4 linked regions of the Styela clava genome follow. The protein of the gene in region 2 purifies or fractionates together with the protein of the main gene of each other region. This does not show direct contact. Links are inferred from orthologs where the notes say so. Each region holds a gene or a part of one and is shown on either strand. Other genes may lie near its edges. The genes, in order: ralBP1-associated Eps domain-containing protein 1-like, AP-2 complex subunit mu, AP-1 complex subunit gamma-1-like and protein numb homolog.

The links.
Region 1: the proteins of AP-2 complex subunit mu (region 2) and ralBP1-associated Eps domain-containing protein 1-like purify together in Homo sapiens (affinity purification with mass spectrometry; 3 studies listed by BioGRID and IntAct, counting the BioPlex papers as one, with this or other methods). This does not show direct contact. The link is inferred for Styela clava from reciprocal best matches to the Homo sapiens genes AP2M1 and REPS1.
Region 3: the proteins of AP-2 complex subunit mu (region 2) and AP-1 complex subunit gamma-1-like purify together in Homo sapiens (affinity purification with mass spectrometry; 3 studies listed by BioGRID and IntAct, counting the BioPlex papers as one, with this or other methods). This does not show direct contact. The link is inferred for Styela clava from reciprocal best matches to the Homo sapiens genes AP2M1 and AP1G1.
Region 4: the proteins of AP-2 complex subunit mu (region 2) and protein numb homolog purify together in Homo sapiens (affinity purification with mass spectrometry; 3 studies listed by BioGRID and IntAct, counting the BioPlex papers as one, with this or other methods). This does not show direct contact. The link is inferred for Styela clava from reciprocal best matches to the Homo sapiens genes AP2M1 and NUMB.

Annotation. Positions count from the first base shown.
Region 1 is NC_135259.1:15,707,113-15,714,868, forward strand, and holds the start of ralBP1-associated Eps domain-containing protein 1-like, read right to left. Parts: upstream 3,008-7,756; 5' UTR 2,242-3,007; coding exon 1-2,241. UniProt on the Homo sapiens protein: May coordinate the cellular actions of activated EGF receptors and Ral-GTPases.
Region 2 is NC_135263.1:5,962,836-5,970,383, forward strand, and holds the start of AP-2 complex subunit mu, read left to right. Parts: upstream 1-4,543; 5' UTR 4,544-4,644; coding exon 4,645-4,718; intron 4,719-5,328; coding exon 5,329-5,455; intron 5,456-6,028; coding exon 6,029-6,167; intron 6,168-7,071; coding exon 7,072-7,154; intron 7,155-7,468; coding exon 7,469-7,492; intron 7,493-7,548.
Region 3 is NC_135263.1:918,274-925,871, forward strand, and holds the start of AP-1 complex subunit gamma-1-like, read right to left. Parts: upstream 3,015-7,598; 5' UTR 2,963-3,014; coding exon 437-2,962; 3' UTR 1-436. UniProt on the Homo sapiens protein: Subunit of clathrin-associated adaptor protein complex 1 that plays a role in protein sorting in the late-Golgi/trans-Golgi network (TGN) and/or endosomes.
Region 4 is NC_135258.1:8,272,841-8,279,696, reverse strand, and holds the start of protein numb homolog, read left to right. Parts: upstream 1-3,844; 5' UTR 3,845-4,005; coding exon 4,006-4,134; intron 4,135-5,533; coding exon 5,534-5,608; intron 5,609-6,856. UniProt on the Homo sapiens protein: Regulates clathrin-mediated receptor endocytosis. Plays a role in the process of neurogenesis.

The sequences.
Region 1 (7,756 bases), on a different chromosome or scaffold from region 2:
TATAATAGGTATGTCACTGGATCCTGTCGCTACACTGTTCGATTTCATGAGTTTTGTGTGACGATCAGGGGCGATTGATAAGTCTGCGCTTTGTATACGAGTTCTTGGTGGTTTTGTGGGTGCGGAATATCCTTTTTTATTTGTTGCCTTTTCCGGAGATTTTTCATCTTTTGCCCTGCTTTGTTTTTCAACCTGACTGTGCCTTGGTGCAGGGGTGGGCTTTGTGTTCGGAGTCTCAATATCTTTACCTTCTTGCTTATTAGAATGTGCAGTTGCAGATGCTGGGGAATGACGATTAGGTGAAACTGATTCCTCAATTTGTCGACTATTTTCAAATTGACTAAAATCAGCAAATTCTTCCGACTGAGAGGCTGCAGATTCTGTAACAATTGGTTGCTGTTGAGTGTGAGGTCTCGGAGGTGGAGTTGGACCAGGAACTTGAGTTTTTGTGGAATCTGATAAAACTTTAGTATGTGCTGCTTCTCGTGCTAGTTGTGTTGGTCTTGGTGGCGGAGTTGGAGCAATGTTAACATTATCTCGCAATATTACACTTGTTTCCATCGATGAACTTTCCATTGAAGAATCTGAGCCAGATCTAGGTTGAAGAGGCCGAGATGACCAATCACTTTGGTATTCTTGATCAGATGATGGGTTGCGTGTTGGTTTTTTATCAGTTTCGGTAAGTGACCTATCACTGGTCCCTGTTGATGAATGTGATGAATTAGAAGACGAACGCCTTCTGGGACTGGCATGACTATCAGGTTCTGATGTATCATTCTTCAATGAACCATAAGGATTTGTTAATGATTTGTGCGAGGGTGGAACTACCAGACCTTGTGCATGATGGTCTTCATCATCAGTACTTTTAGATGAGACTTTTGAGCTCATTTTTGCAGTGTGCATTTCGTGTTTTGAAGGGGTGACTCTAAGTGCTACTGGGTGAACTATACCCGAGTTATCAGCATGATCTAATGATTGGTCAAAATTTGCAAGATTCGTTGAACTTGAAGTTCGGTCACTGAATGTTTCCCATTTTTCAAGATTCCAGTGAGTTTTGTTATCTTCTCGTTTTACATGAGTTATTTGAGGCTGAATTCCAGGCTTTTCCGCAAGATTTTTCGCAGGTTTCATAGGCGCTTGAGTTGGTTGTAACTTTTCACCATCAACCGATTCATACAATGGCCTTTCAGTAGGTTTTATTTCAGACGTTCTTTTACCATCAGGTGTATCTGTTGAGATTACATTCATGTTACTAAAAGATTGATTTACTTCTCCAATGCCACACATTTTCATTAAAGGGGGTAACAAGGTCTTAGGCAAGACAGCTGGCAGTTCATATCCATTTTTGCGCGCAACTACAAGATGGAAAGCTGCGCAAAACTCAAGAAGTGTTAAATGACCATCTTGGTCCATGTCACACAATTCCCAGATATGAGAAAGTTCTGGGATTGGAAGTCTTGATTTTGTGAAGAAATTACGGGCAGTTTGACCATCTATTTTACCATGAAGTTGAGGTTGCATCGATTCAAATTGATTCCTGTAATAAAATCCTTGTTCTTCTGTGACATACCAAGGATCATGCGTAACATTTTCAGTTCTTCTGCTGTCAGTAGCATAGTATGCATCACCAGAAGGGCGTTTTTGCAAGGACTGGTGGCTTTCTATATGTTTTTGCTGTGAAGAATTTATTTTATTGTGAGAGTCTAAAACTTCGTCATTGCCAGCTAAGTTAGCCATTTTATCATGGCTGTCCGCTAAAAACGAAGAGTCATTATCGTTGTCAGAAGATTGATTTCTCAGAATATGACTAATTGTACTACCAGGCCCATGCGTAATTAAAAGAGGTTGTGTACCGGGGTGCGTAATTCTGTGACTGGCTGCTGGATGAGCTTGACTTGCATTGTGGGTAAGATCTAATCCAATTCCAGTTCGACTAGAAACAGGCTCATCATTCAACCTTGTTGAAGGCTGGATTCCTTGATGCAATGATGGGATTACATCTGGCCGTGACTGAGTAGTATAACTGGCAGGTGCAGGAGAAGCAATAAGAGGGCCAGCTTGATTGACAGATATTACAGCTGACTCGGAAAATGAAGTCCATCCTTCATCCTGCCTAACGACAGAACGAGGAATTTCTTTAGGTGGTGCAGAATGAATCGGACTTTCTTCAAAACTCATCCATGCTTTTCCACCTTCTGTTTGAGACTTCAAAAATGCCTGTCGTGGTGTTCCAGTAGTCATTAAAACTTTTGTTAATAACTATGATAGGTACTCAAGCAATTTATATATTTTTCTCAAAAATATAAATATTAGGTTTAAATATATTATCCAGATAAGCACATTCAATTAAAAAAAAAATGCACAAATTGGGAGCATTTGGTATGCACAGAAAATCAAACAATCAGAATGCGACCCCCAAGGAAAAGTTGTGTGGCCTGCAAAATGAGTTTTTAATTTAGTTTAATATGGTACATGTGAGTAATTCCAAGACTATAGCCTACCTGAGTCCAATTTATTTTCCATGCACATGATGTTGCAATGCCCTAGCACTGTAGCAGCTAGCTTGAGCGAAGCGAACAACCCATGTCATAAGATCAATAACTAAATTTTTTGTGTCTGGAACTACTAGAAAGCCTACGCAGTCTGTTAAATAAAAGTGCGACCCGCGGTTTCACCCAGTCATTTGTATCTGGCCTGCTCTTATTAAAGGTTGCACACCCCTGACTTAAACCATATTACTGTATTATGCTACCTCATGGCAAAAAAGGCCAAAACTTCTGGACTGAAAATCTATAGGCCGAAAAGCCTGTGGACCCTGTGATATACCTGTATGCAGATATACTGACAACCTAGCATTGGAAAAATTACAGAAAAATGTGCAAAAAATATGTTTGAGACCTGATAATTTTATTTCCTGAATAAAAAAGGACAGATCATTGAATCGTCTTTTTTATCATCGATGATACTATTTACAAAGTCATAGATAGAAATTTCTGATATCTGAATATACTGATATATGGTACCGGTACAGATATTGGAATAGGTTAACTACTACAGTACGGTACTAGACTAGGTGAATCAATATAATGCAGTAGTCTATTCTACAATATACAGGGTGGATGGATGGTTTTAGGGATTTCTAGATTGATTTTCAAAATCCAAATGCAGTTGGACTACTTTTTCACACATACTGCAGTACTGAAAAAAAAAACAGCCAGTGTACATTATTACACAGAACAGAGCTGCAGAGTGGAGTGAAATAAAAAACGAAATTTTACAGTTTTAGGGCGAAGGGAGACCTCACTGCCTTAGCATCGTCAACTATGAAGGACAGGCAATACCGGTATCGAATACAGAAATACGGTATTCGCGAGGTATGCCTACCGTACCGGTACAGTAAGTTAGACTAAACGCTGAAACGCCATACCGGTACCGGTATCGTACCGGTACCGGTAACTGCCCAAATAAAGCAAAACAAAAATGTGATGCAAATTACTGCTGGACGGTACATAATTTGTTTTTGTTTTTTTAAAAAGACACTATATACAGATATAAGCTGCAGAGCGGAATCATACCAGTACTGGCACTTTTTTTTGCCAGTAGTGGCACTGCGGTACCGTACCGTACCTTAAAACTGTACTATAATATTGACACCCAAACAGATCATAGATACAGAGGGAGGCGGACAACTCGACTACACGGACAACTCACCAGAGGCAACTCGACTACAGAGAGGCCTGGTGAGTTGTCTGTCTTTCCGCATTTTCTACGGCGATGTTTTAGGTTAGGTCGGCATGTTAGTCGTTGGTTAGGTCTATAGAAATGTGATTTTGATATTTTTAGGGCACAAATGTTGAGAAAAATACATAAATATTCTCTAGAAAGCATTTTAATTTTCAAAAGTGGCTTATTTTTCTCATGGTATATGAATAGAAATACAGTCTACAGATGAAATTGGAGTAACGTTAGGATAAGATTTACATATTTATCCCGGGGGGTAAATATGTAGAGCCATGAGTGGCAGCCAACCCATCAGTCGAGCAATCGCTCTGCGAGGTCACGATATTGATACTCGAGAGGCAGACAACTCGACTACAGATCACAAGAGAACTCAAATCACCAGTCGAGCAATCCCAATGACAGGCAGAAAATGAGCTCTGAGAGGTTACAAAATCAATTCCCGAGAGTCATACAACCGTAAATATATACAACACAGCTACCGTACTTGCCAACCAAGTTTCTGCCTTCGACAGAAAAACTAGTTGTTTTCCTGTAGGGAAAATTAAATGTCGTGCATCATTCACCATCGCATCTTTTATAAAAAATTAAACCTTCGAAATGTGATCCTGGGTCTTTATGTTGTAACATCGCCTGTTTCTGGCATAGGCTAAAGCCATAACGTGCTTAATTAGGTATCTTATTCCCTAAAACAAAAATGCGTTTGAGTGAAAGATTTTGTGAGGTTGGAGATGTCATTATATGAAATCTGAGCTCGGCGACAGCAGAGCTGTAATCTCGGCTTGCGTCTCCGCTATCGCCGACTTTGAACCTCAGCTTGCACACCAAGAAGGTACGTGTGTAGGGGGGCTTTTTACAGACGGATGGTTATATGCCGAATCCCGTCCTCGAAGAGAGAGATATTTATTGTTTCGTCCACCAGAAAACAAGCAATGATACACACAATATATACGAAATACACAAGTTAAATTCGGTACAGACTGGGAGGTGCAATACGACCATAATGCCATCAGAGTCAGCTCCCCACAAATACAGTATTAAATTCCACAGTTAATGTATAAAAACGATGTATAAAAGATACTTGTTGGAGGTGCCCAACCTCAAAGATGTACCACATACCACAGTATCGCAAAGAATAAGTATACTAAATGTTCATAGCAAAATAAAAATCGAATAAAATCCCTCATTCGTATCAAAAAACGGAATCCCATATTCATGTTTCAAAACAGTTTCTTTGCCAGGCGCAGCGACAGTGCCTATTCTGCCTCTCGAGCATCGATATCGTAACCTCGCACAGCGATTGCTCGACAGTCGAGTTTAGAAGCTCTAAGCTCGTATTCATGAATATATATATATATGTGTTATTGTCATGTATAAACATTTTAATATATTTAAAAGTATGTATTGAAAACAAACAAATAAAATTCAAACGCACACAGTCCTATAAGTCAGCAGTCTGACTTCGCAAACGTTACAACAGACGGACCCCAGTTTCGTCTGTAGACTATACCTGTAGGATATATTCATATCAAATGAGCAAAATAAGTCACTTATACGCATAAAAATGCGGTCTAGCACACATAAAAATGCTGTCTAGGAAATATTAATGTATTTTTCTCAACATTGAAACCCTAAAAATGTCGATATTACACTCCTTAAAACTTCTTTTTACAAATTATTTTTTATCTTTAGTTAATTTTGCGTTAGTCTACCACTCTACGCTACTAACGTAAAGTTAACCTGCTTTTACGTTAGCTTGAGCGACATCAATTCAAATTCCTGACACCCCCCCACTGTGCATTTGTGACGTAACAAGGAGTAGGCCTATATGACAAGTACGTATATTGTAAAGCCTATTGTCGAGGCTAAAACACGGGGTTGCCATATTGGCTTTTTTAACGCCGAATTTGCCATTTTTGGCTTTTTTCAAACGCGTTTGGCGTCAGAATTTCCGTTTGGCGTTTTTTTGGCTTTTTTCAAGTCTATTCTAGTGTCTATTATTAATATTATATGAAATACAATATTTGGTGTGTAACAACTGAACAATAGCCTATTACCTGTACTTAGCTACTTAACTTTAGGATTTCCTGGAGCATCGATTTCCTTGTTTGTTACATTGACTCTTACCCATACCCAATAAGAAACAATTGCAGTTTCTGCAGCTGCTCAGACAGATGTTCAAGCAGGGTTGTAAACATTGTCTCGTTTTTATAGTTTTGCGTGTTATTTGTCAGTTTTACGTTCTATTTCCAAAAAATAGTTGTATAACTCAATTTTCATTATGCCTGATATGGTTTATGTGAGCTTTAGTTTAATTCTGCAATTGCAGTAACGATGTGATTAACTACGCTAAAATTACTGAATAAGATATCAGTGGTACACCTATGAGCGGCAGGGGGTTAGATAACTTTTTAATAAAATTGATGGTTTATAAATTTTGGAAGTGAAAAAATTTTCAATAGTAGAGTACGATATAGGGAGAGTTTTTTTAAGATATATCACAAGTTCAAGTAGAAACATGTAGGTATATTACATACTGACAGACTGAAGCGGCACCCTGTATTGTATATATTGAATGGTAAAATAATGCTGTCCGCTCGATATTTATTTTACTTTCTACAGTTGTATAGAAACTTTACTTTCTATTCGTGTGCCTCACTGAATGAACTAATGGCTCTATAGTCTATATCATCATCAGTACGTTGCCAAGGGCTTAAATCATGGGGCTTTTGTACTTAGTAAAATTGTTGGCTTTTTTTATGTCTTGATTTGGCTTTTTTTGATCGCTGGGGTCTGGCAACCCTGCTAAAACATATCACGTGTAGTAATCGAATCAAAAAAGGGGAAATTTGCAGAATCAGTGCCCAGTGGTCTTTGATTAAAAAAGCCAAGGAACGTTAAAGTTTTGCAAAATGGATACATTTTTTAAAACAACAGCTGATACTGAGCAACATATTGTACCTAGCACAAGCAACGTTGGAAAAAAAAACTTGTCAAAAGGAAATACAGGGAAGATTACGTCAAATATGGATTTTCTTGCTGTGGTAACGGAGATGCTCCAAAACCAGTCTGGGTTATTTGGGGGGAGCAACTTTCAAATGAAGCAATGTTTTCGAGTAAACTTATGCGCCACTTAAATACGAAACTTGCCGTTCATGCACGCAAAAATATAAATTATTTCCAGCGGTTGTTAAGTCAAAATAAGAAGCAAGAGTGCCTTGTGAAGTCGTCTTTTACAGTCTCAGAAAAAGCATTAAAAGCTAGTTATCGTGTTGCAAAATTGATTGCGCGTCACGTAATGGTTCTAATATAGAGCGATTGTGCTCAATAAAACAACCACAAATCTCTCATTGTTATATGAACATAAAACAAAGTTACACCTTGTATTTTTCGTTTGTTGTGGTGTGCCGTCAAATTTGGCAAGTTTTATAAGTCCGCCGCGAGTTAAAAAAGGTTGCGGAGCACTGGTTTAGACTACCGTACCGGTACTGCGACCATAGACTACTAAGCTCACATTCATGAATATTTAAGTGTTACTGTGATGTATAAGAATTTTATTATATTTAAAGGTGCTCATTCAAAGCATTCAATAATAATAACGTTTGAAAATTTAAACGTACACAGTCCTATAAGTCAACAATCTAACTTCAAGTCTATGCTTCCGAAAACAAATAACTGGCTAACTAATCCCATACCTGACCTGGTAACCGGACGAGTGGCCGTGGTTCGCCATATGATTAGGTCGTCTTATCGGCTTTCCTCTCCCTCGAGATAAAAATGTAAACCCTATCCTAATTAAAATATTCAAATGCCTTCATGACATACATGCATTTCACAAATATAGGCATGTCCAGTAAATCATATCCTCCCATATCTTTTGGTTTGCACAGATCGATATTGCCATTGTTTTGTTACTTGGAAAATATTTTTCTACTATGGTTTTGATTCCTTTTTCTATCCTGTGTGGCATTGTATATATTCTAGAATCTAGACAAATATAAACATTTTGATAAAATTT
Region 2 (7,548 bases):
CATTACTACCAAATAGCTAAACTCCGTTTTTTAAAAAAAATAAACCCTAATCGCCAATACAAACACAAACTATCGAAGTGCATTTTGAAGCATATGGACGGAGAAGTTGTTACTTACTGTATGAAAATGAAATAGATCGCCTGACTTTATAAGTTTATATGAATGATCAAAGCATAAATACATATTAGAACGTAGGGATACTAGCGTTTAAAAACGGCACATACCGTTTGACATAGGAACATAACACCAAAGTAAGAGAATAGCACTTTTACATCATGAGTAATATGAAATTACACGACCAGCGGTCGACGGGCTGTGAGTGATAAACATTCAGATACACACTATGATTGGCTACAACCTGAACTAAACGGTCGAGTTAAATTATCAATTTTCGGGATAAAATTTCCAGCACCTTGTTAGATGCCTTTTTAAATTTTCTTATTTATCCGTGTTTTAATCCCACGATTTATTTTCTATAAATTTGACCATTGCGATATGTTGTTAAACGTTGAATAAAGTCAAGTGGAAGTGACGTCACACGCAATGTGAACACTGATTTTCAGGTTCAAACAGTTACCAAAGTTATGCATTTGCACATAGGTCTTTACTTAATGTCAAATTTTTATGAACTGAATCGGTTCAGTATAGAGCAGGAATGGCCAACCCTCGGCTCGCGAGCCGCATGCGGCCCTTGCTGCGGTTTCATGCGGCTCTTTCCGTCTTGTTTTTTTATTTTGGAAAAAATATCTTGCAAACTACGATCATGCTGCGATTTAACAGAAATATTATGATTCATCGTGCATTCTCTTTATGATGAAACCAACTGAAATGTGCTTTAGGGTGAGGGACTATTGAGTTATGGAAAAGTATGTCAATGGAAAAATACCTCAATGTCGCACGAGTTGCGCCCAGAATATTGTCAATGTTTGGGTCAACATACATCCTTCGCCATTTTTTAGCACATATGGACCTTCGACATATGTGCAAATTGAATAACTTAGCAGGCAATTTGTTTCAAAAACCACGCGGTTTCAAAAAGATGGGGTTTAGTATACTAAAGTAAGTGTACTTTTTATTGCAGTTGGTCAAATATATTAAAAAAAAAACATTCTCGAAAACATCCGCATCATAAGCATAGATAAAGTATAGGGAGAGTTTTTATTGCGGTTTAAAGTCGGGTGGCTACCTTACATTGCAAAGTTTAAGCGTTTTTCCTACTGAACATATTATTGGACACGGTGTGTACATATAAATAAATGTTTTGTTATTACGTTGTTGCTTTTGTTGGACACCCAGTGGTCTTCTTATGGATTGTTTTGTTATTGTTGATCTCCTCGTTAGTATTCAGAAGCTTTTCTCAATAGCTACTGGACCAATTGCTTTGAAATTTTCAGCGGTTGAAGATTGTATTTTTCGCTAGAAGATTATTTATTTATTTTAAAAATTTCTGTGGCTTCTGATGCAATTTGTTTTTGTGTACGATAACCTTCTCAAAATCAAAAATTGCGCTCCTTGTGGCGGTTCCGCTTTCGCGGTTGTCAAATGGTACCTGTAGGCTACATTGTTATCGACACCTTAATGGTAGACTACCGTGACAGACTGCATACCTATACTATTTCGTGTCCGTTTATTTGATCATATCGTTCTCTTGTTTTTTTCCTGTTTTTCTTCGAAAAATCGATTTAACTTCAATTACAAGATCAATCGCTTTGAAATTTTCAGTGGTTGAATATTGTATTTTACTATTACTGCTATTACTTTTATTAATTTTAAAAATGTCTGCGGGATTCAATTTTTGTGTGCCATGACGTCATCAGAAATCGCGCACTTCAATCATCGCTCTTTTGTTAAAATATTTATTGCTTGTTGTTACGACGACTGTACAGTATTATTAATAAATAATAAATTTCACTTTCTCTTCAGACAAATAGAATTATTATCTAAGCTTTCTCAAGCTTTAAACTTTTGATCCTGTGCAATGAGATAAATTTATCTATGAAAAAAACAACTATTTTGATCGATTTATCATCTTGGGCATGTATTATGTTCTTAGCGTGCTTTTTACTATTTACAATTGTTTCTAAACGGTTGGATGAATCAAAATTAGGGATGAATTAACAAAAACATTGCACTTGTCAACGACAATTTATATATCAAACTTTTGACAGAATTTAATGAAAGATTTTGGCAGTTTACTAAAATACTGAGTAGAAATGTTTATGGACGGTTGAACGATTTTCCGGAAATCAATCGCCTTTCGGGTTATCACTAGTGGTCGCTATAGCATTAAAGTTTGCATGTTTGTCAAAAGTAAACTTTCGGCGTGTCCGCCCACCTGATTTCGTCCGTCTTCCGTTTGTCAATTTTGTTGAGAGTCTATAATCCGGTTTTGTTAGGCTTGTTATTGCTGATTGCCTGCATAGTGTCTAGAGTAGACTATTTTACTTGTAAGTGAAATGATTATTGACACACGCGAAATGAGTACCGGTACCGGAAGCGGTCGACCCACAAACAGACAAAAACAGAAAGATTAATGAAACGTTACCGTACCGTACCGGTACGTACCGTAATGAGTTGCAAATTCTGAAATTGTACACCGACTCTGTGACAGAGTTCAACGATACGGTACCTGTATGGAAGTACATATATAACAGATCTATGATCTATCATAGATAGATTTTGACCTGTATCGGTATATTTCTATGCTATATGGGAATCTCAGACCCAAAATTTACAGAATTCGAGATCAGCTTTATTTATATATATTTACTGTAAGGCTAATCCTGGCGATTTCTCAGCTACCATAATCGTATACAAACATTTGAAACATCTATCAGAGACGGAGGAGGTCGTTGGGATTCTATTACATTTAATTTTATCTACCTGAATTTTGCTGTCTTATTTCAAGCACAACACTTATTTTACTCCATGTAAATTATCCACTGATTCAAGCAATTATTTGGCTTTTATCATTTTAAATTGAGTTATAAGCACTGCCCGGTTTTGAATCGTGTCCATATTTTTTGTATAATCGTATTATTTCTATTTTATTTTTTGGTGGGTGGGCACGTACTTGTACGTTTTTTAACTTTATTTTAAGTTATGCTCGCCTTCCAGGTATCTCTGTATTTGTTGTCTGTTTACTTTTTTGTATTGTTCCGTTTTAGTCAGAGAGACGAAATAAAATGATTGATTGATTGCCCGAACTGTCTAACTTAACTCAATACAGCAATACTGTAAATTTAAGACTTACGGTCGTAAACGTACAGTAGGTCAGACGGTATCGGTACAAGATCATATTGCAGTAATGGAAATTGATTCTGTTATTCCAGTACAGCAGTTTTCTCATTTTTTTTTACTCATTGGTTACCCGACAGACGGTAGGCTACAGTACGGCCAGACTGGATTCCATGGCGGGTGCACGCCCGAGGGCGCTAGCGCTGCGCAAAAATGCACGCGAGCGAATTCAATTTTGCACGCCGAAAATTTGCAATTGTTCACCAATGTAAATCGGTTTAAATTGTTTTAAAATCAATAATCCAGTAATATAAAGATGCCAAAATATTATAACTCCACAATTGTCGACTAATACTAGCTTGCAAAATTTGGTCTGATCGAAAAATGCGAAGCAAAAAAGACCATATCGTGTTGAATGATAGGAATCCCGTGAGAACAGTTATGGACGAAAAGATCGCCCCCGCACCAACGCTGGCCAGGTACGGCTCTGATTTAGCGTATTTTTCATACAATAATTTTACACGAATGTACTGAACAGTACCGGTATTTAAAGTCGAACAAACACTCTCAAAATTAGTGACGGAGTATAAAAATACTGTTTGGGGTCAACGGTCAAACGGCCAATTTTGCTCTAATTTGCACTCCCAAAATTAATGACAAAGTATGTCCATTTTTCTCTGGTTCAACGTATTTTTTATTCAATAATTTTACGCGGATGTACTGAACAGTACCGGTATCCAATATCGCACAAACACTCTCAAAATTAGCGACAAACTGTAGAAAAAAATGTTTGGGGTTAAAGGTCAAACGTCCATTTTTGATCTGATTCAACGTAATTTTTATCCGATACCGAACGGTGATGTATTGAGAGGTATCTAATGTCAAAGTCAGTTGCACGCGGGCGCAGTTGTTTTGCACGCCGTGAGCTATAATTGCAGAGCCATTATATAATGGCTCTGATAATTGCACGCCAGGGATTCTTATTTGCACGCGGGAATTTCTGATTGCACGCCCGATTTCTCGTTCAAAAAGGCCATGAAATCCAGACTGGCAGTACGGTCCTGTATACAATTCGGTATCTCTGTCTGTGGTTATATCCAAATGCTGAAATGCAGAAATGGGTGTGAATTTGTAGTACCGTACTGCTGTACTGTGCGTTACTGAACTAAGCTTCAGTTTCTCTAATCGGAAAGTCTGACAGTGGTTATGTTCCAATATCTAGAAATGGGAAGCAATCACCTAATTCATGTATTCACCTAATTCATGTATTATATTCATTTAAATTTTTTCCGATTCTTTCATTGAAAGCTAGTGAACTATTTAAACTGCTATGTTCTTATAAAAGTAGGGAAACTGAATATTTCTGTCTGAAGCGTTTGAGGCCTCTGGCCTGGTCAAACCACCAAAATGATCGGTGGTCTTTTCCTTTACAATCACAAGGGAGAAGTTCTCATATCGAGGATATATCGTGATGATATCGGGTATGTTGTTCTTTATGACCATTGATTGCAGATTTTATAACTTTTGCACTTCTATATATATTATACTATGTGTATGTTTACAGAGTGTTATTAATAACAGCCTATTATGTCAAAGTTCTTATTGAAAAATTTGATTCAGAATTTGGATCTGGAGTCCCAGAGTCCAAATATTCTACAAGTAGGAGCGAGAGTCAATTTTTCTCTACTGGGAAACTTAGCCAAATTTTTTTTATCCTCGAGTCAAAAGTCAATTGTAAAAATTTCCAGACTCCATATCCCTGCTTACAATCGCATGAACGCTCCCAGTCCAGAAAAGCCAATAGCTATTTTTGAAGTAATCTGAATTTATAGACTCTCCCTAATTGTGAGGCGCGGTTACGGCAGCAAAATTTTACCTGCCATTGGTTTTCAATTTGCTGCCGCGGTAACGGCAGCTCGACATTGGTTTGTGGCAGCTAAAAAGTCAGTCGCCATAGGTTTGGCCGTAGCGGCCATGATATGGAAATACCGCCATGGTTTTGTGGCAGCTGCAGACGCCATGGAATACTTAAAACTGCACTTGCTAATTGTAGTATTTCATTGTTCTGACATACAATGTAATATTTTACAGGCGGAACGCGTGTGATGCTTTTCGTGTCAATGTTATTCATGCAAGACAGCAAGTGCGATCACCTGTTACCAATATAGCACGGACAAGTTTCTTTCATACAAAACGAGGAAATATATGGCTATGTGCTGTAAGAATTTATTGTAGAAATCACAGTATTTTTTTACTTCAACAAGGAATGCTTTACTGCTGTGTTTCAGGATTCATTTTTAGGGGAATGAAAATTATAAGACTGATCAATATTATGGTGTATCTATATCAAAAATCAATAACTATGATTTTTAAGCTAACCCATTTTTTGGAGACTTTCCTAAATGGATTTATTAAAATATTGGAAAACATAATATATGTTACAATATAGTCAACCAAGAGCAATTTAACCAGATATATAAATTTGATTCTATTTCGATACTTTCCTGATTCTCTCAAATACCTTGTGGAATTACTTATAGTACCTCTAGTAAACAATTTCGCACTGATAAATGGTATAAAGACTGTTCAAAATAGTCCAAAAATAACACATTTTTATATAGCTTTAGTAACATTTGAGGTAGGCTATATGTTATTTGGTGGGAAATGGATTTGCTTTTGTTAGCTATGACCCTAATGCTGATTTTCTTTACGATTTTTCCAAAAATTCTATCGCGTTTAGAAACCAAGCTCTCTAGAAAGTATACAATTAAACAACGCTTTCATTTTTCAGGTAACAAAGCAAAATGTCAACGCTGTTCTTGTTTTTGAATTTCTTCTTAAAATGATCGATGTTATGCAAAGTTATTTTGGAAAAATCAATGAAGAAAATATCAAAAACAATTTTGTTTTGATATACGAACTTCTAGATGGTTAGTGTACATAGACCATAGCTTCTCTTTTATTTATCAACTTAGAAGATCCTGAGTTTGAACATCCCAGTATTTTATCAGCTTATCATGCCCAATACCTCATTCTCAACCCTCCGACCGTTTGGTAGATAGACCTCAGCTCGAACCTTAGATCTCAAGTGTGCAGCGTTCAGTAGAGAGAGAGGGAGAGAGATTTGTTTTTCGTCGATCAAAATAAAATACCAGTCATCGTAATAATAAAAATAATACCAAGTGATAAATTAGTTTGGTATGTATAGACAGGAATCAATGTCAACTCCCCACTTCACACTATTATGTTTAAGATTCACAATTTCAGATGACAAATTATTAAGGTAGAACATTCCAAAGTTTGAAATTATATTCACAAAATGGGAGAATAAAATTGGGGAGTGGAATGCTAGAGTAAATCATTCTTATTTGTATATGTGGAATGGGGTTCCAAAGTTGAAAGAGATTTCAAAGGGTTTCCAAAGTAGTTTCTAATTTCATAGCTGCGAGTCTAGTTACGACCCATGAGTTATCTGTGCCATCAAGTCGAGTCCTGGAGTCAAGATGATTGCTGAGTTAATTCTCACAGGCGGTCAGCTGATGACAAGTTTGAATTTTTTCATTTAGATGACTCGACTTTGAGTCTTTGATAAATATTCAATCAATCCAACTCCAGTTGAGTATTTGATGAAGGTTGACTCAATGCAATGCCAACTTACTGAAGCCAATACCAATGTTAAGATTTGAATTTAACAGCACTTGAATCGTAAAAAGCCTATTTCTAACAATCAAGCTAATGGAGATGCATATTAGATTAGCTTTAAAATGTTTCACATTTACAGTATTTGAAATTGCAAATGGATTTTTTTTTATCAATGAATTTTACCTATTACAGAGGTTTTGGACTTCGGATATCCGCAGAAGACTGATACTGGAATATTAAAGACATTTATTACGCAACAAGGAATCAAAACTCAGGTTATTATGTTATTTATGATCTTTAATAACATTTTGTAAAAAGCTTTAAGTTATTTTCATTTTAAATAAAGAACTAAGATGATTTTTAAAATCTCTAATTCAGTTGAAATGAATGTGTCATTGATGCAATTTGTATTCTGAAGGGATTAATAATTTTCACTGACACTTGGTATTTCTAATTTAAAATTTGTTCAAATTTTATTAAGAAAAGTTTTAATTTTCGAAATTGATTGAATTTGAACTTTATTGCTGTAATTATGTGTGATGACTAACTCTTGTTTCTTTTGACATTGTGCAAATCTTAATAAAATAAGGTTGTAACTGCATTGTCTGGAAAGGTAATTTAATAATTCTAATGTGATGTCCAGATGTCTGTTCGTATTTTTTACCGTAT
Region 3 (7,598 bases), about 5.0 Mb from region 2:
GGTTCTCAATATATCTTAACCAGGATTGTTGTTTTTCAATCATTTTTACCTCATTTAATACATCTGTGAGGGCCAAAACAATATGGTATCGATAAATTCCCTTTGCAGTTTAAAAAAATTTTGAGACTTTAAGGACCCTATAATATATCAGAAAACCAAGAATTTTAAATATCGAATATAATTCCATAATATACCATTCCGAGTACAATAAGAAGAAAATGCAAACCCAGGATTATTAACTACCCCATATGCCAAGGCCTGATTGACAAAATTTGTTGGTGCGGGAACATTATATTATTACATCATAATTGGTCTAAATTCAAATATAACTATATAAATATATGATCTTGATAGTTTCAACAAAGCCCATTTTCGGGACAGTTTTAGTTTGTGATAATACACTTTTGAGGGGGGCAATGAGCCCACTTGAAACTCTCTACTGCCATGAAGCAGCAGGAAAATTATTCACTTCCCCCATTTCAGTAACAGGTTGTCCGTTGATCGTATATGAGATTCGTAGCCTCATTCTCAACGGCACTTTTCCTGGGTTGTTAATTTTGATTGGCTGTTCTATAGTGCCACCACTGTTCGGTGGAACCACGTTTCCTGATGGCGACAACATCTGGAGTTGTAGCTGCTTCGGTAACGCTGCTTGGAATACATAATCCGAAATTTCAGATGGGGTCTGGTTACTTGTTTTGACATTGATGGAAAGCACTGAGTCTCCTGGCTTCCTATCGAAGTAAAAAATAACTTTCAAACCTCCTTTTTCAAACGCTGTCATTTCTGGAATGAAATTTGTGGCAACAGGAGCCGGGTCACCAAGCATTAGCCCTGCTAACCCGTTAATTGCTGGCGGTGGGGCTGAACCCATAATCCCGTTCGTATTTGGCATAGCGGGTGGGGGAGACCCCATGATGTCATCGAGGAGATTAAGAGAATTACTCATCGGAAGTATTGGTTGTATAGGGGCCCCACCCATGGGCGGGACAATGGGCGTGTCCGATGCTGCGGAATTATTCAAATCGACTAAATCTAACAATAAATCAATATTGCTTTGTGGTGCTGCTGCTTCTTTCACTGTTGCCACATTTTGTTCCGTTTCTCTGTCTTCCAATTCCTCCCCATAATTTGTTTCAGATTCTCTTTCGATCGATTCCGCCGGCGGCTTTTCAAATTTCGGCATCGATTCTAAAACACCAGCACATAGATTATGATGCTTATCCAAGAGTGCACAATATTCCACAGCTCTCTGCTGTACCTCGGTGCTGTGTGAAACTCCAAAGCGCTCAATAATTTGACGAACTCTAGATTCTATGCCTGGTATTCGTGCACTGAGCTTCATTATTGCATTAATAGCATACGCTTTTGTTACGGGATTCGATAATGAACTTTCAATAGTGTCATCAAGAAAATCTAAAATCTGGTCGCCAGAGACTGGCTCAATTACATCTCCAGAATCATGATGCCCTTCAGCTAACTCGTCTCCATATTCTCCAAGACACCAGGATAAAACTTGAACTAAAGGCTGCTGGTCAATATTTTCAGGCATTTTTGCTGCATTTAGAAGAGAATTAACGGCGTAGGAATGTAATTTATCACTATCAGATAGCAGATGTATCAAACTTGGAACGGTGTCGTCTCTAACATAATTACCAGCGGTCGTGAGAACTTTCAACATCGTATCAATATGCCAGCGACGGTTAGGAGCGAATTTTTCCGCAGCTAGAAAGATTCCTGACGCACAGTCGGACTTGAAATCTGGAGGGCAACGGGTCAAAAACGCAAGTAACTCTCTAACAGTTCCTCTAACATTATGGCTATTCACAAGAGCAAAGCACAACTCCATTGCACGACGCAAAATCGAAGGGTCCGGATCTTTTAAACAATCAAGAACAGTGGTGCGATGGCGCTGCACAGCGTTCATATCCGTGTGGACTGTCCTCAGAAGAGAATTCAACGCTACATAGCGGATATTTTTATCATTGTTGAGAAGAAATCGGCCCAGAATGTTGACGGCAAGAACTCTCAGTCCACTTTCAGATTTGATATCCATGATTGTGAGGACCGTTTCATATAAAATTGCATTCCCAACGTTTTTACTAGTTTCAGTATTCGTCGCAACTTGAGCCAATATATCGTTCATAATCTCGCTAGCTTCGCCGTCGTGTGATCCAAGGATTCTTAACAATCGTAAAATACGAACTTGCAAAAATGGGTCACTAATTCCAGAAACATCATGCTCTGGCGAGTATCCAGACATGATTAAATTCTTCAAAATCCGCACGAGAGTCGGGCACAGCTTTTTTAAACTTTTCAAAACCGCTGGACTCGCTCTACACATTTCTGTGATCAAGGACACAGTTGCCAAGGCAACTCCATGGTTTTTATCGTTCAAACACGACTTCGTCAACGGGATAAAATTTTCCATCAATTCTGGTACTTTTCGAACGATTCTACATGCACAAAGAACAGCTTTCTTCTTGATATATCCGTTAGAATTTCTCATTAACTTTTCAACATCAGGTGCAAGATCTCGAGCCATCTCTGCTGATCCGACACTTCCAAGAGCGCAGAGAGCTAAACTGACAACGTACTGACTTGAATGGTCAAGATCATTCTTCAATGAATTCGTCATAAGAAGCTGGACTTCTCGATTTTCATCCAAAAGCAACATTACACCAAGATATCCAATTCTTTTATCAGTAAATCGTGAACTAGGGAGTAATTTCATCGTTTCCAACTGGCCAAAATGAGCAGGAAATCCAAGCATGTAAATATATAATAATTTTGCTACATTACGGCAACGAAACGTGGTATCAGTGTCGCGGAATCCGTTACGGATGTCTGCACATTCTTTATTGATAACAGCACGCTCCTCCGCAGCAGTTTTACAAGCTCGAATATTGCGAATCAAATCTCTCAGCCTGATAGGTGTATGTGTCGTTACATTTGCAAACATTGTGATACAAATAAATGTTTAACCTAATTGTGAGATCTAAAACACATGAAGTAAAAACAGGTGTCTGTTACGGATAAAATTTTCATATTTATCCAGGGGGAGAGGAAATACAATAACAGGGCTAAACTACGTGGAAATTCATAGCTTCTTGTCCATACCCATATATAAATATACCCAACTTTGCATTTGACAGTTTGATTACAAACTGTGGCCAACTGCTTGTATCATAGCATTCAGGAGTTTACAGATTCATTAAATGAATAATAAAGCAGCTGTGATATGGGGATGGACTACTTCAATGACTTTCCGTTGTATCTTCGGGTCTGGTATAGTTTAGTACCACATGTACTTAGTTGACCTGGCTCAACAATTTTTGCATATGTCAATCCTAATCCCCACTTGACTACGTCACCGAAAAATTACCTCATTTCGACGTCACAGTGCCGTAATAAGGCCCACCGAAGTATGCTGATGCTCGTCCAAAACGCACAGACGATCACCCGAAATCGAGCAAGCAATCTTTCTCGTCACAACGATCACTATAGGAGAGAGATCGCCGGCTTTAGCAAGTTCATTATCGGCGGAGCAGATGTCATTTCGGGCGATCGCCCGAAACTAGTTTTTATGTTTGCTTTTTAGCTTTGTTTGTTTATAAAAAGAAGCAGCTAACCAATTAAACTTCACTAAATTCAGCAATTTGTTACCGGTAAATATTATGTGTATATCGCTATTACTCTCTCTCTCTCTATTGGTATTCATATTTCTACACAGGCACGGTAATATAATTTTCAATTGTTTCTTCAATTCTTCATGAATTTCACTCATTCAAATTTTTTACAACTTTACAAGCAAGCTTTGCTCATGAATTTTATTTTCTCGTGTTCATGCACGTTCATGAATTTATCCTAGTATGATTGTATGATTATCGTGATGTATTTTCACTTGTTCGATGAGTGTGAGTAAATGGGCACAAACACTGGTTACAGTACAGCGATCGTTATAAACCTTTATATCAGTACGGCACACTATACAAATCGAGTGACATTGTCCCGTTTCAGAGAAACCAATTTTACAGATGATCAGACACCCCTCCTTTGGTGGACGTCTGGACATTGTTGTCCCTCCGATTTACCAAAGAAAAAAAATGTTACCATAGCATTCGAGAGTTTTCAGCAAAAAACGGCAACTTTGGTCATGTGACGTCCGCGATATATTAAGATTATTATTGAAACAAGCATGGCGCGATATGAAGCATCTGATGTGGTCCAGACGCCCCTTGTTTGTGAGACACATAGAGCGTTTGATTTATTGAGCCAAATGGAGGGAAATTCTTGGAATTTGGATAGTGTGCTGTACTGTATATAGGTTTTTCCCATTTTCCTGTCGCCATTGTCTGTGTTTTTTTAGTTGTGTTCTGTGTTGTAGACAAAAGATCGAAATAAAATTGTATTGTAATCGAAACCCCAGGTCGCTTAAACGTAACGCACATAAATGGCCAATTTTTGTTAAATAACGTAACGCACCTAAATGGCCAATTAAATATTGTTCGGCTTCCTTCTCCCGTTTTTCATGATTCTATGTTAGACTCCCTTAAAGGTGGCGCAGTTTTTTATGATGCTATGTTACACTTCCTCAAAGGTGGCGTTTTGGGGTCTCATGTAGTTTCTTACCTAACATACTTCTAGTGGGCGTAGAATGTCAATTTTTTCACGTATCAATCCTAACCCCAACCTGACTACATCATTCAAAAATAACGTCATTACGACGTCACAGTGACATAATAGAGCCCTTCAAACTATACGAACTGCCATCCAAGACGCGCAAACGAGCACCCGAAATCGAAAAGTTATCTCTCTCGTTTTCTCGTCGCAACGATTCCAATAGGAGAGAGACCGATAACGTCAGTCAGTTCTTTATCGCCGGCGCCAATGCCATGTTGGTCGATCGTGCGTATATTTGGCAAGCTCTATGACGTGATTGTGATGTCGTAGCAATTTAATTTTTGGATGGCGTAATCAGGTGGGGGTTAGGATTGACATATCAAATAATTGTTATGCTACGCCCACTAGAAGCACGTTAGGTACTAAACTACGCGAGACCCGCGTTTTGTGGCAATAAATCTTTCTTACTCTTCTTGCTCGATAACCATGACTGATTTATCGCGTCTCCCTTCATGCTGAAATACATTATTTTATATTTTACCTTATTGTTTGTATACTTTCGTATATTCGGTATGTGAAAAAATAAATTACTGATTCAGTGATTGGGTACTGCAGTACCGTACTGTAAAGCCTGAAAGCCGTAATCCTGTAATCAACAATCCCAGAATTTTGGCTCAACCTCAACCCTAGCCTAACAGTAACAAAACTTAAAATGATAAAATTTTGTTATACAGTTGTCTAAATATAAAAATATGCTCAAGAGTTCTCAGTCATCTGCATATATCTTAGAATCCATTAATCATATTTCCCATTTCACACAAATCTAAAATCAGGCCGATGAATAGAAACTCATTATAGCAGGCAAACACGAAACCCCACACCTTCAGAATTTCCCGGTACCGTAACTGATGACGTCATAGCGTTATTTTGCCATTGTCCGGATTAGCATTAATAGGATTTTCATAATTATTTCGGTAAGAAAAAATCGATAAGGCGCCTTAAGCTCACGGCGAACCACGGCCTTTCGTCCTGTTACCAGTTCATGTCGGGTACGGGATTAGTTAACAAGAGAGCTATGCTCAAATATATGAACACGTAGCTCCACCCAGTGGGAAAAATTTTCATTCAAGCATGAACACACCTGCTCCCCTGATTTCGTTTAGTATGAGCAATGACATTAAACAACATGATGCGCAACTCCGGCATTTTTGGCCGAAGATCGTAATCGATAACACGCTCCAATGCACATACTTGACGAGACGAAAACGAGCGGATGTGTGCTGCTTTCAAGGCATAGCACGAATGATGTTAGTGCTTGCTTTGACAGTTGTTGTCGATTTTAATGATATTTTGGAAAGTTAAGTTAAAAAGAAATCGGAAAAAGGTAAGGTAAATACTATTTTTGTATATCACACCCGGGCATCGCACTGTTAAGCTTTTTCAAATACTACGAAGTTATTAATTCAGTACGGTACGTAGTTGCCCATTTGCTGAAATTGCATATTTAATTACCCCTTATGGTTTCAAATAGTTCATGCATCTCCATTTAGATTTTTCTAACCAATGAGGATATATACGCATTGCTGTAACGTACTATTGCTCAATCACTTTTATTTGCGTATTGATTCAAAGGGTTAACAAGTTCACCTAACATTTCACTCATACCGGTCTATATTGTATAGTATGATGTAATAGTCACGACTTTTTCAATTATTTAAAACGGCCAAATAAGTCATCTATGTATCTGGAGGACACCCTTCCTTCTGAGATTGAAACGCATATAAATTCTCTTACTAATGGTAAGGCAGAAGGTCATGATCGTATACCAATCAACCTTTTGAAAGTTCTAAAAAATATCATTAGCCCTGTTTTATGTAGACTTTTTAATGCTTCAATGTCTCTAGGAATTTTTCCCTGCCATTTGAAAGTAGCCAGAGTTGTGCCCGTATTTAAATCTGGAAATAAGTGTGAAGTATCAAATTATCGCCCTATTTCAATATTATCATGTCTTGCTATTCTTTTTGAAAAATTATTACTAGTTAGATTAAAATCCTTCTTAGATAAACATTCAGTACTAAATAATGACCAGTTTGGTTTTCGTAATGAACATAGCACTTCCCATGCAATAATAGACATTGTCAGTCAGTACTATAACATTATAGATGAAGGCTCAGTAGGTTGTAGCGTATTTCTGGACCTTAAAAAAGCGTTTGATACTGTCGATCACAGCATTTTGATTACCAAATTAAGTCACTATGGTATTCGCGGAGTTGTGAATAAATTGTTTGCGAGTTATTTGCATGACAGAAATCAATATGTGTCATTAGGTGGTTCTGCCTCACTGAGTGGAAAAGTCTCAGTTGGAGTTCCGCAAGGGTCGGTTCTTGGACCAACTTTATTTTTAATACATATTAACGATATCGTAAACGCTACCAATGCCTCAATAAAACTTTTCGCTGATGACACAAGTTCTACGTCTGCAGCAAAAAATCTGCCTGACTTGGAAAATAAAGTCAATGCAAACTTGCTGAATATTTCTAACTGGCTCACTCTAAACAAACTTACTGTGAATCCTGCTAAGACACAAGTCTTGTTAATTAATTGTGCCAAAAGTCTTGAATCCTCTAACATAACTCCAAAATTTACCCTAAATAATTCGATATTGACTACATATGATTCTGTGAAGTACCTAGGAGTCAACCTAGATCACAAACTAAATTGGCAAATTCACATTGATCAGCTCGCTCGTAAGCTGTCAAGAGCCCTTGGTGCTATGACCAAATTGAAACATCTTGTACCTAAAAGAGTTTTAAGAACTGTTTATTTTTCGCTTTTCTACACTCATCTTCAATATGGAATTGTGGCATGGGGCTCTGCTTCTAAGACTTATCTGAATCGAATCAGTGTTTTACAAAATCGTGCGTTGAGAATATTGACTAGTACACGTTTGCGACAAAATTTAAGTCCGATCTACA
Region 4 (6,856 bases), on a different chromosome or scaffold from region 2:
TCAATAGTAGTTACTATACACACGTTATGTCTAATTGAATATAGTCTACCTTCATTTTAAATATAAATAAAAGAGGAATACTGTTTTTAGGGTATACTAGGAACTAGATATTAAATGCAAGCATGAAATTATATTACATTTGTTATAGAGGTAATTGATAAGCAATAAAACGGAAATAAAAAACAATTGCACTTTCTTACATTGGCGTCTAGGTAGGCTGTGTGTGTACCTCGAACAGCAATCTTTATACCTTCATTTTGGTGATAGAATGAACAGACAGAATGAAAATCCGGAGAGACGGATTTTAAAATATTTGAATGCTTGCATTTATTCTTCCACATTATTCGATGAAATCGTAAACTGCAAAAGAATCTCACATTTCGCTTATCGTAAAATGAATGTAATTGTTTTCAACATTAAATAATATGATCATGATCAACATTTTGCTTTTCGAACTGATTTACAGATCACCTGTGCTTTTAATAGTGTGATGTTCTACATGAAGATTTGAATCGATTTTACCAATTGGATTTAGATCGATTTTAACAAATATGTTTGATTATTAATTAATGTTCAAACTTTAGAAAGAAAAGAACAGAAATATTACCTAGAAAATATCTATCAATTTGAATTTATAATAATTGACTTTGACATTATAAGCTAATAATATGCTATGTCTAATAATAATATATGGCTCGCAAATCTATTATCTACTCGCACGGTGTGTCGTAAATGTCGTGTCCCACTTTGCTCTGGGACAAGTGGGACACGACATTTTTGAAACACCCCATTCCGAATGAAACGACGGTAACGAAATAATAAGTTCGTATTTTCAGCATGATGAAGAAATAAATTATCCATTTTCCATATCCATATTCATTTTTACATATTAGAAGCAGAAGTTCAGAAATTTCAGGTAAATTTACTTTCGTTTCTGTTAGACTCAATCACGGGTGTCGCTGCTCGATAACCAGTATTGGTTTCTTGCGCTCTCCTGAAATAACAGTTTTGTTTCTTTTTACATTCTGTACTCTCGAAGTGTATTTCATGTATAAATAAACTAATAATTACAGCTCAACAATGCTTGTCAGTTGCCAATAAATATATTTATGTAAAAAAAAAAAATGAAATCCCTTTTTACATTCAGATTCTAGTCACTTTCTTCTTGGACAAATTCACACTTATGCTTCCTTATACGTATATACTTACAACATCAATATTACGAAAAGAAATAAAATGATGAAATGAATAATAATAAAGTCATTCTTATACTGCAAATTCAATGTGTCAGCCCTGGGCAGTGGCCTCCAACTTGGGTTCCACAGAAAAGATTATTGTGGATAGGAAAAATTATTTATTGCTATTTATTTGGGTTAAAAAAGTCACACTGCGTGTTCTTGAGCAGATTATCTATACATACAAGTAGATCCCATTTTCTATTCGACGCCTCATGTCCTTCGACCCGATATCTAACTGAGATCCAACTATGTGCGAACGGCCACTACATCATCCATCGCATTTTTGCGCGCAGTTTTCTCGCGAAGTTTTGTGTATTGGTGAAAGTCACTCTTGCATAACAGTAATGGGCATACTACAGCCCGCGGGCCAAATCCGGCCCGTTGGGTAATCCAATCTGGCCCGCCTGATGCTGCCACAACCAAACTAAAACCAAATTTTGATGTTTTAGCTACAAAATAGCGCAAGGAATTTGCTGAGATTGTGATTACATTTGCGCGAAGCTTATTGTTTTCCACTTTTGCTTTTGAATATTGTGCATAGAATGTAACTTTCTACGTCACACTTACTAGCCCGCTAGTATAGGTGGGGAAATTTTTGACACCAGTCCAAAAACCTTCCCTACCCCTGGCTTAAACGTTAATTTATTTCGAATTTTCTCACAACGTTATCAATACTTTTAAAGCCGCATACAGGGTGTAAATAAAGTTACTTTACAATTTCAATTTTGTTGTGAACTCAGTTCTTAATACATATCTATATATCTTAACCAGGTTTGTTATTTTTTATTCATCAGTTACTTCATTTAATAGTGTATATTTACGATTTAATACATCTGTGAGGGCCAAAACAATATATGATATATCGATAAATTCCTCTTTCAATTTAAAAAGAAATTATCACTTCATGGGCATCCTGTAAATATATACTTTCTGATGTGAAGGGAAACAAGAGAGCTATGCTCAAATATATGGACACGTAGGCACCCAATGGCAATAATTTTGATGACGTCATAGCGAAAAAAAAAGTAATAGCCTTCTGGAGAAAAATTTTATCTTCAACCACTGAAAATTTCAAAGCAATTGGTCCAGTATTCGAAGAGAAAAGCGACTTTTTAAAAACGTGTCAAAGAACAAGAACAACAACAAGGATAACAAGAACAACAACAACATAATATTGAAACGATCGTTATGTCCACTACGTGTCCAATAATGGCTCCACTTTTTTAAACCAACTTGGATGTTTCTCTAACGTTAAAACCCTCGAAATTTGTTGGTTTATAATAGCCTACTTTTGCGCATATAAATCACGAAAGGTTGTATGTAAAACGTTCGCCAATAAAATGACAGTCGTCTTGATAGTTTTGTAAAAAGTGTCGAAGATAAGAAGTTCAGAAGAGTTAAGACTGGTAATATGAGGTGATTTAAGTTTATAAATGCCGGGAACGATCACGTAGGATTGGGAGGTGGGATTTGGCACGTATAATTCGAGTGGAGATTTTGTATGGGATTAGAAATGAGAAATTCATGAAAAGGTTGCTTGATGCTTAGCTGTCGCGGGGGGGACGTGATAGCTATTTGGTTAAGTGGAGGAAGGAGGAATATAATATAAAATTATAAACGGTCATTTATATTTTATGCTACCAATTATGGTGCCTCGCAATCTAAAATGTATTCGACAATCGTCCATGCGCCTGGAACGAATCGCTGGCTAACTATTCCAATACTCGGAGTTGGCTGGTAACCGGACGAGGGTTCAAGGTTCGTCATATGATTAAGCTTTCTAGTTGGCTTACTTCCCCAAAGAGTATACATGACCGCCGAAACAAATATGAAATTCTATCCAAACTTTTTACTCTCTGGCGTCACAATGTGACAGCAATTTGCATTCTAAAAATCCAAACTACAAATGGGAATGACGTCACTTCGTTCTCCCTGCGGTCGCGTATGGAAAAAGATTCTGAAATTACTACAGTACGGTACCGAAACTCTCAAAAACTATGTATTTAAAATAAAATGATTTGATTCAAAATATTAATACGAAAATTCCGTTTGGCATTGGAATTTATTTGGCGAAAAAGGGGGTCCCGGTACGGTACCGGTACCGGTAGGATACTACCGTAACTGACAATATTCTGACAGTCAGGTACCGGTACGGTCTGACGGTGGTACCGTATGTTGCATTAACAGACTCAGACTGAAGTTGCAAAGCTGGGAGCACAATTACTGAATTAACTTACTGACTTAAGCCCTACCAGTCAGCCAGTAGTCTAATCAGAATAATATTGTTCTTGTTGTTGTTTTAATGTAAAAGTGACAGCTTCGACAGTCCAGCAATCTGACAGTTGATTTTCAGCAAATTTCTGCATTAGGCTATTTGTCTTCTGGTCTGCTTTTGAAAAATGAAGTCCTGAAGTTAGTGATTTGGATAGCTAGATAAACATTTTTATGCTTTGAGTAAATTTTGTAGAAAGATAAACCAGCGTAAGTCAGTAAGTTGGATTACTGTATTACATGATCAAATACATGAATTCAACTCATTTTCCATCCTTATAACAGTATAATGTCTGAATGTCAGTTTATTTCATGCTTCGTAGATTAAAATTTTTGATGTTATATTTTTGTAGCATTGGTCGCTCAACTAGCCTATCATGTTTTCCAAATAAAAAATAGATAATAAGACTCCATTGTCTGAAAAAGGCTGAACGTGTAAGGGAAATATCTTATACTACAGTACTATTGGAATTATTTAAACACTATAAAAATCACTATGATGCGGTCAATTCGGAATAGTTTTCGAAGGAAGAAGAAACCAAAAGTTCCAGAAAGTACTCAACCACCTGAATGGCAACAGGATGAAAAATCTGTACAGACTGGAACTTGTAAATTTCATGTTAAGGTAGATAATATAAACTTTCTGAATGTGTGTGTATTAATATAAGGGTTTCAAGAAAACAACGTCAAATGTTAAAATAGAGAAAAAAACATTTTTTTAAAAAAAATTCTAAGAAATAATGTGAATGCTTTTTACTGTTTCAAGCTGGCTCTAATCAAAGTTCAAAGAAAAAGGTATTTAATGAAAAGAGGAGTTTGAAATTAAAAAATGAATGTTTTCTTCATTTTCTAATGACCTTTTTTTTTCAAATTTTTTATTTTCGGGTTGAAGCTCTTGCCTAGTAGATTTGTCAGCCTGAAATAATATATTTTATAGCTTATTGTAACACTGATAGATGTTCGTTTCATTGTTGATATACTGCATTCAAATTTTATTACAACTACGGTAAATTTTCAAGTTTTATAGATAGATAGATTTTATTTTGATTCATTCGCAAAAAAATAAAACAATACACAAAAAAGAGAAAGGCGAAGAATCTGGAAATTGAACAAAACCTAAAAATAAATTTATAACATATTAAACGAGTTCGTTCACTCACCGAAGAAGAAAGAAAACAAATCACAACAAACACAAACAAATAAACATCAATACAAATGATTGGTCAATATTCAGGCTTCTAACTTCATAATCAAATTACCTGAAATTATTTACAAACAAAATAGTGAACTGAATAGTGGATATGTGTGCGATGTGTGAGATGGTGTGTAAACAAACAACCGAACAAATTGTTTCCAGATGAAAATGTGTGAACCTATGCCAAATCAGCTATATATAACGTCTACACAATGATGCGAACATCGATTGTCATCGAGATACTTCAGCCTCTATTGTATTCTACCACAATTTGGTCTACCACTCTTGTAGCATCACCAAACAGTTCGATCAGCACAAAATATATGACAGTGATTTGTTGTAAGATTAAAATTATGCGAAACAAAAACAATAACAACACAGGAAAAATTGTTCTATTTTATACCTATATTCCAACTTTATTTGGTAAAAACTTGTTTTGTCCCTTTATTCAAATCTGTAATTAGTCTGTATCAAACAACAGCATGAGCTTTTTTTTATTAGGGACAAATTGGTAATACTTGATATCAGTCAATTACTCATAAATACAAAATCTATATTCACACATAATTGTTTTAATCAGTTGTGTTAAATTTATCTAGCAGCATATTTAATATCAACAAATCAGTGATTTAAAATTGTGGATGGTTTTTAATAGAAGATTTATTGGAAGAAACTGATGATTATAGACACTTTACCGGACAGTGATGCATAATAATTTATTTAGTGTTATGTATTGAAAAGTGGGCAGTAAATAGAAAATGAAAGATGAATAGCGAAAATTCCTAAATCTGCATCATCTGGTTATTTTTTTTTTTTTTTCTCTCTTCAGTATCTTGGATGTATTGAGGTTCAAGACTCAAGAGGAATGCAAGTTTGTGAACAAGCAGTGAAAAGTCTAAAAGCGGTGAGACTTTATTTAATTTCATTTGCTAATTTTTGTATCAGTGTTCATGTACATGTTAAAAATTTTGTGGCTATGATATATATCAGTATAAATTGTGTTTCTTTTATGTTTGTTGTTAGTTCTGTACGGCAAATGAAGGTTTGCAATTAGCTTCAGTAAAAAATTGGATTTTTTTTTTATCAAATATCATTATAATGAAAAATTGATATTTTTGCAATATAATGAGTGTAGCATATTCATATGCCGTTTGTCTGGTTAAACATCAAAATACCTACCTGTGCACTTATAATACAATTATTGCTTATTAGATCACGAGTCTATTGCAAATTAGGTTGTGTATTTTTGTTACACAACTGACAGTTAATTTATGTTAGTTGGCAAATCAAGCTGTATATATCAATTTATCAATGTCAAATATGAAATTTTAGTGTGCTTCAAACAATGGTTCATATCGGGATTAAATATAGACAGTCGGAAGTGCGGTTATCCTGTGTTTTAACATTGTGGTGCTAATGTATCATCCTTATGACGTTAATTCTTTATTGTTTGTTTATTTTTCCTTTCTAATTCAAAGACGTTTTCCTATAGATTCAGGATGCGATAAGAATTTTTCCTCGGGCAATTGAATGCTTCTGGCGTAATCAAAGCAATCATGATATTGTGGGTTCATGCATAATATTTTTACGACATTATAACAAGCATAACATAGAAAATCTGTTTTGTGACCTTTGGCTTAGTTTCAAACATATCCCACTGGAAAAAGCATAATTAAACCGTGCTTTACATACAAATGAGCTCTCCTATTGATTGATAATGAAGCTATGTTCAGGATAAGATTCCCCAGTGCACGAACTTATTAAAGCTCTTAAGTTTGTAAATAATTATTCCCTTGACTGATGGAATTATGTGTATTATCGACTATTCCCCATCCAAGTGTTGGTGACTTAATATAAGTATGATTAAGTTAATGAAACATATAAATTTTTAATTTTCAAATGTACCCAGTAATGTCCAGTAATTTAAAATCGTTAATTCATTTCGACGTAATAGGGGTCTCACAGATGGACCAAAAAGGCCTGCATATTATGATTTTTAATAATTCAAATCAAACAAATTCAAATTACTGTTTATCTACTATTCCCCTGTATTTCCAAAACAAACTCATTAAGTATGCATGTATTGACTTTTTTGTTTATTGGTTGAATATTTAAAATGTATTCGGTATGCTAATATGTAAAAATATTATTT